Linked DNA regions of Saccharomyces cerevisiae S288C. The protein of the gene in region 1 interacts with the protein of each later gene in a pairwise test. Each region holds a gene or a part of one and is shown in the gene's direction. Other genes may lie near its edges.

Region 1 (7,293 bases):
GATCACCTTCTTCAAGAGTGAATAAAACGTCGTCTGAATCGTGATCGCCCTCAGAATCCATACTATCCTGAGTGTAGTGTTCCTGGTATGAAGGCTTCCCACCTAAAACGGTAGAGATATCAGGAGCAGTTGATTGCGGAACTCTTAAAAACTGATTCGTTGGGCTTACGTGATGGTTCCTGGCATTTGGTGGAATATAAGCGCCTGGTGAATGTTGAACTGTAGTCGTAGAACCACGCCTTGCATAACCATTTATAGAACTATTGTTGTTATGATTATAGCTCATGTTGTACCTTGAAAGTGGTGACTTACCGGTATAACTGGAGGAACTTGGTCTTCTGTATTTGTTAAAGTTTTTGTTCCAACCCTTTATATAGCTATTACCATTGTTAAAATTATTATAATTACTTCCATGATTGTTATTGCTGTTGTTGTTATTATTGTTGTAATTACGATTCTGTCTGTACTGTTTATTGTTGTTGTTGGAAAACCCCTCCATATACCTGTGCTGGACACTTGGAGGAGTGAAAAAATCTCTGGTGTTGAATTCATCCCTTGCTTTGTAATCGTGGAAAAAATTATTCATGTGTGTATTAGGCGTTGGTATGCCAAGAGGCTTCCTTGATTTTTTCAAAATTTTACTTTTCTTTCTATCTTCGATATTGACTGGTTTGGAAAATTGATTATCAGTTCTTCCGTACTTATTGCGCTTCTTAAATTTGAACTTAGGAGCAGATTTAGCCCTTTCATGAGTAGATAGTGTTGTATTATAACCCTGGTTGAAAAATTTCTGTTGTTGTGTAGACGGTTTTTTAAAGAAGCCGCTTGCAACATTTTGATTTTGAGAGACATCTGACCGTTTCCTTTCATTCACATTATTGAAATTGAAATCCTTTTTAAATTCAGGCATATGTTGTTTGTTACTAGATGAAATAGGAGTAGGTAATGATACCGGTGCTGAAGATGGAGGAACAGGCTGAGGTGGCAAACCGTCAATCATAGTTTCTTCATATCCTTCATCCAAGTTATTATAGTATTCATCGTCTAATGTATACTCAGATAAGTTCTGTAGTTCAGTTCTCATCATTTTCAAGTCTCTATTAGCCGGATCGATGGTTAAACTATACCTTAATACTTGAAAGAAATCATAAGCCATTGTCGAAAATACATCAAACAACGCTTCTCTATTAGCAGCAAAATAACAGAATGACTTGTCGGATTGATTGGCAATACTAAAAGGATTCTTATGGAAAACAATATTAAGAAACACAATTCCCATAGCCCATAAATCCACTTTGGCACAGTCATAAGGTTCCTTTCTTTCCTTGATATCCAAATTACTATCAAAAAGTTCAGGGGACATATATCTTTCACTACCGACATTTCTATCCATAGACGTCTTATCTGTAGTAGCCAATCCCCAATCTGTAAGCTTAATTGTCCAATCAATTCCAGAAATTAAAATGTTCTCAGGTTTTATATCACGATGATAAATGCCCTTGTTATGAACATATTCAATTGCATCCATGATTTGTGTGATAATATGAGTGATCGATTTGGTTTTCTTAGGCACAGCATCGGCTTTGATCGCCTCATATAGGTCACCGCCAGAGCAATATTCCATGATGATGTAAGAGTCGAAGAAATCTAATAGAGCAGCAATATTTTGGTGTCTACCAATTTTTGTTTGAATATCAACTTCATACATGGCTTCGAGACAAATGTTATTAGATAGTCTTGATTTAACTTTCGAAGAAATTAGGGACTTTTTGTGTTTGTAGAGATTGTGTTTCTTCTCTCTACTTGACCCGTTATTACTGGAGGCATTACCATTTTCATTTTCATGGCGATCCGTATCAACTTTCGTGTCTTCATCATCATCACAATCGCTACTATCACAATCATTTTCGTCGTCCTGAGGCCCATCGTACTGGCCGTCATCTTCTAATTTGAAAATGTATTTGACTGCAACCAATCTTTTCTCTCTAACATCTTTAGCCAATGATACATAACCATATGAACCTTCACTGATATCCTCTATTTTTTGATATCGATTATTCAAAATACCTCCTTCTTTGTAAATCTCGTAATCTAAAGTCATCGAGTTTCAAAAAATTGTAAGAAAAAAATATTGCACTAACTTTACGTGTCTTTTTGTTTTGTATTTGAAATTTCTAAGTTTTTGGAAGTTTTTAATTTTTTTTTTCCTTTTTTATTTTAGGTTAAAGTATAGTGAAAGAATAGTAGGGTTAACGGAGAGAAAGAATCCGGTAATATGCAGTCTATAAGGCCTATAAGATTTGATGGCGGGTATGAAGCAGGTTTTTTTTTTTTGGCTTTTTCTTCTAAGAAAAAATTTATAGAGAAAAGATGTCTTTAATTATAACCTATTCTTTTTTTTTTTGCCAGCTAATACCAGTAAGTTTTGTTTTTTTGCGACACTAGATTGGAAGAGTAGAATCAGAAAATGAACCTTCTGTAAGTATAAAGAAGTCTTTTTTCTCTTTGATACTACTGTATTCGTGGTGTCCCTTTTCAGAAAACTATAGCTTTGAGCCTGTATGCTATTTTTCTATTTCCTTCTTTGCAGTTCTTTTTTGAGCAGAGAACAATATCCGGGTCACGTGAAAGTTAGATAAGCATGCAAAGATAGCCAGAGAGATTTCGAAGTTGAATAAAACAAGGGAATGGGTCACTTGTTATATTCTTTACAGATTGAGAGTGCAGTAATATTCTGCGGACGCCAGTAAGTACTGTTTGAGGTTGTATTTTTATAGTAGAGGACACTTGAGACTGTGTAAAATGCGCTCACCAAAAAAAAGGGTCTGTTTGCGATCAACAAACAAATAATAAGATAAGTTAGGGAAAAGAAAGGTGAACACTGTTGCGGAATGCGTGGACTGCTTGTGTAAAAATGCTAGTAATGAGGGAAGTGTGGACTTGATATGGCCTGTTGTGGAAGCCTGAGAGTTCTTTCACGTGCTGTGTTCGGCCCGCCTATATAGGGACAAATTGTTAAAAAGATAAATAAATATAATCTGCCTCGGAAGGGGTTGGGAACGCCCGGCAGTAGCGATGAGGGTAACGGGACGATATTTAGAAGTGAATGCTGAAATAAATGGTGTGAAGGCCTCTTGTATGTCGTCTCATATAGGGCTAAAACGAAGCCATCGTGCACAATGGTAAGTTCATTCAGTGTTCCCATGCCAGTAAAACGGATATTTGACACATTTCCGTTACAAACATATGCTGCGCAGACTGACAAGGACGAGGCCGTTGCATTAGAAATACAGCGGAGGTCCTACACATTCACAGAACGCGGTGGTGGAAGCTCTGAGTTGACTGTGGAGGGGACGTACAAGCTAGGTGTTTACAACGTTTTTTTGGAGGCAAATACAGGGGCGGCATTGGCCACAGATCCATGGTGTCTGTTTGTTCAGCTTGCGCTGTGTCAAAAGAATGGTCTAGTCTTACCCACGCACTCGCAGGAACAAACCCCATCGCATACCTGTAACCATGAAATGCTCGTTCTGTCCCGTCTTTCTAACCCCGATGAGGCCCTACCTATTCTAGTTGAGGGTTACAAGAAGAGAATTATAAGATCCACCGTGGCAATCAGCGAAATTATGAGGTCTCGGATACTTGATGATGCTGAGCAGTTGATGTACTATACGTTGCTGGATACCGTGCTGTACGATTGTTGGATCACGCAAATAATTTTCTGTGCCTCAGATGCGCAATTCATGGAATTGTACTCTTGCCAGAAGTTAAGTGGTTCGATAGTCACTCCATTGGACGTAGAAAACTCTTTATTACAGAAGTTGTCCGCAAAGAGTTTGAAGATATCCCTAACAAAGCGGAACAAGTTCCAGTTCCGCCATCGAGAAATCGTCAAGAGTATGCAAGGAGTTTATCACAACCATCACAACTCCGTTAATCAAGAGCAGGTCTTGAACGTTTTGTTCGAGAATAGCAAGCAAGTTCTTTTAGGTTTAAAAGATATGTTGAAAAGCGACGGGCAACCCACTTACTTACATCTGAAAATTGCAAGTTACATTCTTTGTATAACGAACGTTAAGGAACCCATAAAGCTAAAGACATTTGTTGAAAACGAATGTAAAGAATTGGTCCAGTTTGCACAAGACACCCTGAAGAACTTCGTTCAGTAATCACTTTCAAGCTGTAGTATGTAAACGATATAGATGAAGTTTTCGTGTGTATAAATATATGAACTCTAGAGTGTTGCATAATTTGAAACACAGCATTTCTTTTCGGAGAGCTCGTTTCAAAATGAAACAAACGCCGTTGTCCGTTTTCGTCTCAATAGAAAAAGTGAAACAGATAAAAATTGTTTTAAAAGAAACGAATTTGCAACATCTTAAGATATATCAAAACTAATACAAAACAGCCTAAAAAAGATTGAACAACTCTTCGCGGTCAGGTCTCGACACCATAAATCGAAGTACTCGTACGCTAGTTTTCTCGCACATAGTACCACTACGTTCCTTTTACAATTAGATTACTTCTTTTTAGTTGACTTTTTTGAGACGTTCGTGCCATTCATAAAATAGGAAAAGATAACAGGTAAGCACTGAAGACTTGTTTTATAAGTGTCCCAAGCGAGACCTAGAGTGGATATTGATATTTCTCAAACAAGACTCGTCGAAGAAAACACACTTTTATAGCGGAACCGCTTTCTTTATTTGAATTGTCTTGTTCACCAAGGATGAAAGTCCAAATAACCAATAGTAGAACAGAGGAAATCTTAAAAGTTCAAGCTAATAATGAAAACGATGAAGTCAGTAAAGCTACTCCGGGCGAAGTTGAAGAATCGCTAAGGTTAATCGGCGATCTAAAATTCTTTTTAGCCACAGCGCCGGTAAATTGGCAAGAAAACCAAATTATAAGGCGATACTATCTGAATAGTGGACAAGGCTTTGTCTCTTGTGTATTTTGGAACAATCTATACTATATTACAGGTACTGATATTGTCAAATGTTGTCTTTACAGAATGCAAAAGTTTGGGAGAGAAGTAGTTCAAAAGAAAAAATTTGAAGAGGGTATTTTTTCAGATTTAAGAAATCTCAAATGTGGTATAGATGCAACTTTAGAACAACCAAAGTCCGAATTTTTGTCGTTTCTATTCAGAAATATGTGTCTGAAAACCCAAAAAAAGCAGAAAGTATTTTTTTGGTTCAGTGTAGCACATGATAAGTTGTTTGCGGATGCGTTGGAAAGAGATTTAAAAAGAGAAAGTTTGAATCAGCCTTCAACGACTAAGCCCGTTAATGAGCCCGCCTTATCTTTTTCATATGATTCCTCATCTGATAAGCCTCTCTACGATCAGTTACTTCAACATTTAGATTCTAGAAGACCATCTAGTACAACAAAATCAGATAATTCGCCTCCAAAATTAGAAAGCGAGAATTTTAAGGATAATGAGTTGGTAACAGTAACTAATCAGCCGCTTTTAGGCGTTGGCCTCATGGATGACGATGCGCCAGAATCCCCCTCTCAAATTAATGATTTTATTCCTCAGAAATTGATTATAGAACCCAATACTCTCGAATTGAATGGTCTCACAGAAGAAACGCCTCATGACTTACCCAAGAATACCGCTAAGGGCAGAGACGAAGAAGATTTTCCTCTCGACTATTTTCCTGTATCTGTTGAATACCCTACGGAGGAAAATGCGTTTGATCCGTTCCCTCCACAGGCTTTTACGCCAGCTGCCCCTTCCATGCCTATTTCCTATGATAACGTGAATGAAAGGGATTCTATGCCCGTTAATTCTCTTCTTAATAGATACCCCTATCAGTTATCAGTGGCACCCACTTTCCCAGTGCCACCATCATCATCGAGGCAACATTTTATGACAAATCGGGATTTTTATTCATCTAACAATAACAAGGAAAAATTGGTATCTCCTAGCGACCCTACCAGCTACATGAAGTATGACGAACCAGTTATGGATTTTGATGAATCTCGGCCAAATGAAAACTGTACAAATGCAAAATCTCACAACTCTGGCCAGCAAACTAAACAACACCAATTATATTCTAACAACTTCCAGCAATCTTACCCAAACGGAATGGTTCCAGGATACTACCCAAAAATGCCGTATAATCCCATGGGGGGGGATCCTCTACTCGATCAAGCCTTTTATGGCGCGGACGATTTTTTCTTTCCACCAGAAGGATGTGATAACAATATGCTGTATCCACAAACTGCAACTTCATGGAATGTTTTGCCCCCTCAAGCTATGCAACCAGCTCCAACCTATGTTGGGAGACCATACACACCGAATTATAGATCGACACCAGGTTCCGCGATGTTCCCATACATGCAAAGTTCAAATTCCATGCAGTGGAACACTGCTGTTTCACCTTATAGTTCGAGAGCACCATCTACAACTGCTAAAAACTATCCTCCTAGCACATTTTATTCTCAAAATATAAATCAATACCCACGGCGAAGAACTGTGGGAATGAAGTCTTCACAAGGAAATGTTCCAACAGGTAATAAACAATCTGTGGGCAAGTCTGCAAAAATTTCAAAGCCTCTACATATTAAGACAAGTGCTTATCAGAAGCAATACAAAATCAACTTGGAAACGAAAGCCAGGCCAAGTGCTGGTGACGAAGATTCTGCTCATCCTGATAAGAACAAAGAAATTTCGATGCCTACTCCGGATTCCAATACTTTGGTGGTCCAGTCAGAAGAAGGTGGAGCTCATTCACTTGAGGTAGATACCAATCGAAGGTCCGATAAAAACCTTCCAGATGCAACCTGATATAATATAATTTTTGAATTTATGATACAAGAATTAAAAATGCGGGCCAGAATTTAATATTAAACAATACTCAGAAGAAAACAACAAGGACAATCTGTTTTTATAAATAAAACAATCTTATACAAGACTAGAGCAAACAAAAAGCAAGAAAAAAAGGTAATAAATGTAACAAATCTATTAACGTTAGAAAATAACAAAAAAAAAAAAAGAAAAAGATAATATAATATAATACCTTTATATATGTGATTTATCTAGCGTCACAGTATGTAATATAAATATCAATGAGTTTCTTAACATGACCTCCAAAACTACATGATCGCTTAGTATTACAATATGTGTTTATCCACTATTTTGATACCAACGTAGTATTGCCTTTTATTTTTCAGAATGGCAAAGGCCATCGGAAAATTTTTCCACCAGAAAAAGCGAGATTCCTAATTATAAGGTGAAGGCATCGATGTTCATAATAGTTAAAAGTTGTAATCAAAAAAGAAAAAGGT
Region 2 (2,992 bases), on another chromosome or scaffold:
AATGAAAGAACAATTAACTAATTAATGTACTTAGTATTTGGCCATTATTATCGATTTCGGGGGCCAAATCTAACCAAATTCAACCTACATTTTTTCAAATTGATTCAAACACCTTTCACAATAAGATTTTTATATCTAGCGCACATAGAATGAAATGTAAACAAAGATTTCAGAAAAATCGTCATTCAAACTTGTATTAGACGAGGGACGGAGTGATTTTTGTGTTTGTTTTTATTAATTGTGGGATAGGATAGTAGCAACTCTTGGAGGAGAGCATTGTCAGTTGTCCAGTCTCTGAAGTTAAGTAGTAAGTTTGCGGAGTCAAAGGGGGATGGCTTTTGCCATTTGTGAGAGTTGTGCGGCAGCATCTTATTCAAATAGAGCTGTATTCTGAAGACCTCTTGTAGAACATCATCCATACTAAAAAGTAAATCGTCCTGTCCCATTACGAGCTGTAGTAGTGCTGTGACCCTCTGTATATTTACGTTGCCATGAAGAAGGTAATGGGCGATATTTTGATACAATTCCTGAGTTGCATGTTGGATTGAGTTTACGAAGGGTCGCCAGACGGCCAGAAACCTCCAGGCGGAGTTAACAACTAGTAATACGGCATCCATGTTTGCATCAGCGCCGAGCCTATACCAGTCACTGAGTAGACGTTTTCTTGCTCTTTTTATGTCCTGACTTCTTTTGACGAGGGGGCATTCTCTAGAGACACAGGCAGTTGCTTCCAGCAACTGCCGTACGGCCGTTCTCATGCTGTCGAGGATTTTTTTTGGGACGATATTGTCATTATAGGGCAGTGTGTGACTTATGAATTGTTGTAGAAGGACGTCTGTGATGTTGGAGATATGTATTTTGTTAACTCTTCTTGAGACAATTTGGCCCTGGATAGCGAAGCGTGCGGTTACAAATAGGTCGTCTTGTTCAAGAAGGTAGGCGAGGACATTATCTATCAGTACAAACATCTTAGTAGTGTCTGAGGAGAGGGTTGATTGTTTATGTATTTTTGCGAAATATATATATATATATATTCTACACAGATATATACATATTTGTTTTTCGGGCTCATTCTTTCTTCTTTGCCAGAGGCTCACCGCTCAAGAGGTCCGCTAATTCTGGAGCGATTGTTATTGTTTTTTCTTTTCTTCTTCTATTCGAAACCCAGTTTTTGATTTGAATGCGAGATAAACTGGTATTCTTCATTAGATTCTCTAGGCCCTTGGTATCTAGATATGGGTTCTCGATGTTCTTTGCAAACCAACTTTCTAGTATTCGGACATTTTCTTTTGTAAACCGGTGTCCTCTGTAAGGTTTAGTACTTTTGTTTATCATATCTTGAGTTACCACATTAAATACCAACCCATCCGCCGATTTATTTTTCTGTGTAAGTTGATAATTACTTCTATCGTTTTCTATGCTGCGCATTTCTTTGAGTAATACAGTAATGGTAGTAGTGAGTTGAGATGTTGTTTGCAACAACTTCTTCTCCTCATCACTAATCTTACGGTTTTTGTTGGCCCTAGATAAGAATCCTAATATATCCCTTAATTCAACTTCTTCTTCTGTTGTTACACTCTCTGGTAACTTAGGTAAATTACAGCAAATAGAAAAGAGCTTTTTATTTATGTCTAGTATGCTGGATTTAAACTCATCTGTGATTTGTGGATTTAAAAGGTCTTTAATGGGTATTTTATTCATTTTTTCTTGCTTATCTTCCTTTTTTTCTTGCCCACTTCTAAGCTGATTTCAATCTCTCCTTTATATATATTTTTAAGTTCCAACATTTTATGTTTCAAAACATTAATGATGTCTGGGTTTTGTTTGGGATGCAATTTATTGCTTCCCAATGTAGAAAAGTACATCATATGAAACAACTTAAACTCTTAACTACTTCTTTTAACCTTCACTTTTTATGAAATGTATCAACCATATATAATAACTTAATAGACGACATTCACAATATGTTTACTTCGAAGCCTGCTTTCAAAATTAAGAACAAAGCATCCAAATCATACAGAAACACAGCGGTTTCAAAAAAGCTGAAAGAAAAACGTCTAGCTGAGCATGTGAGGCCAAGCTGCTTCAATATTATTCGACCACTCAAGAAAGATATCCAGATTCCTGTTCCTTCCTCTCGATTTTTAAATAAAATCCAAATTCACAGGATAGCGTCTGGAAGTCAAAATACTCAGTTTCGACAGTTCAATAAGACATCTATAAAATCTTCAAAGAAATATTTAAACTCATTTATGGCTTTTAGAGCATATTACTCACAGTTTGGCTCCGGTGTAAAACAAAATGTCTTGTCTTCTCTGCTCGCTGAAGAATGGCACGCGGACAAAATGCAGCACGGAATATGGGACTACTTCGCGCAACAGTATAATTTTATAAACCCTGGTTTTGGTTTTGTAGAGTGGTTGACGAATAATTATGCTGAAGTACGTGGTGACGGATATTGGGAAGATGTGTTTGTACATTTGGCCTTATAGAGTGTGGTCGTGGCGGAGGTTGTTTATCTTTCGAGTACTGAATGTTGTCAGTATAGCTATCCTATTTGAAACTCCCCATCGTCTTGCTCTTGTTCCCAATGTTTGTTTATACACTCATATGGCTATACCCTTATCTACTTGCCTCTTTTGTTTATGTCTATGTATTTGTATAAAATATGATATTACTCAGACTCAAGCAAACAATCAAAGAAATCTTTCACTGCTCTTTTCTGTGTTCCATTTAGTTTTTAGTACGATTGCATTGTCTATATACTGTATTTACCAAATCTTAATTTTAGTCAAACATTAATGTTTACTTTCGTATTTAAGGATGTGTATACTAAGCCTTGGGAAAATGCGTGTTCCTTGTGCCATCCGAAAGCTACTTCATAAAAAAGATACTGTTCATTTTCAAGCCCGCATAGTTGGATCAAATATTAACTATATATCAACATGGTCCAAAGATCGTAAGTTTGGTCTAATGTTGTTTTAGCAAAAAA

The links.
Region 2: the proteins of STE12 (region 1) and HMLALPHA1 interact in a two-hybrid assay, tested with the Saccharomyces cerevisiae proteins (one large-scale study listed by BioGRID).

The regions. Positions count from the first base shown.
Region 1 is NC_001140.6:269,448-276,740, forward strand, and holds STE12 (homeodomain family transcription factor STE12), read left to right. Parts: upstream 1-4,726; coding exon 4,727-6,793; downstream 6,794-7,293. Other genes in the region: putative serine/threonine protein kinase KSP1, read right to left, coding at 1-2,101; SAM complex subunit SAM35, read left to right, coding at 3,180-4,169. UniProt on the Saccharomyces cerevisiae protein: Binds to the DNA sequence mediating pheromone induction (called the pheromone response element = PRE) which is found in the upstream control region of several a-, alpha- and haploid-specific genes.
Region 2 is NC_001135.5:11,318-14,309, forward strand, and holds HMLALPHA1 (transcriptional co-activator mating type protein alpha), read left to right. Parts: upstream 1-1,964; coding exon 1,965-2,492; downstream 2,493-2,992. Other genes in the region: YCL068C (uncharacterized protein), read right to left, coding at 186-968; HMLALPHA2 (homeodomain mating type protein alpha2), read right to left, coding at 1,069-1,701. UniProt on the Saccharomyces cerevisiae protein: Mating type proteins are sequence specific DNA-binding proteins that act as master switches in yeast differentiation by controlling gene expression in a cell type-specific fashion. Silenced copy of ALPHA1 at HML.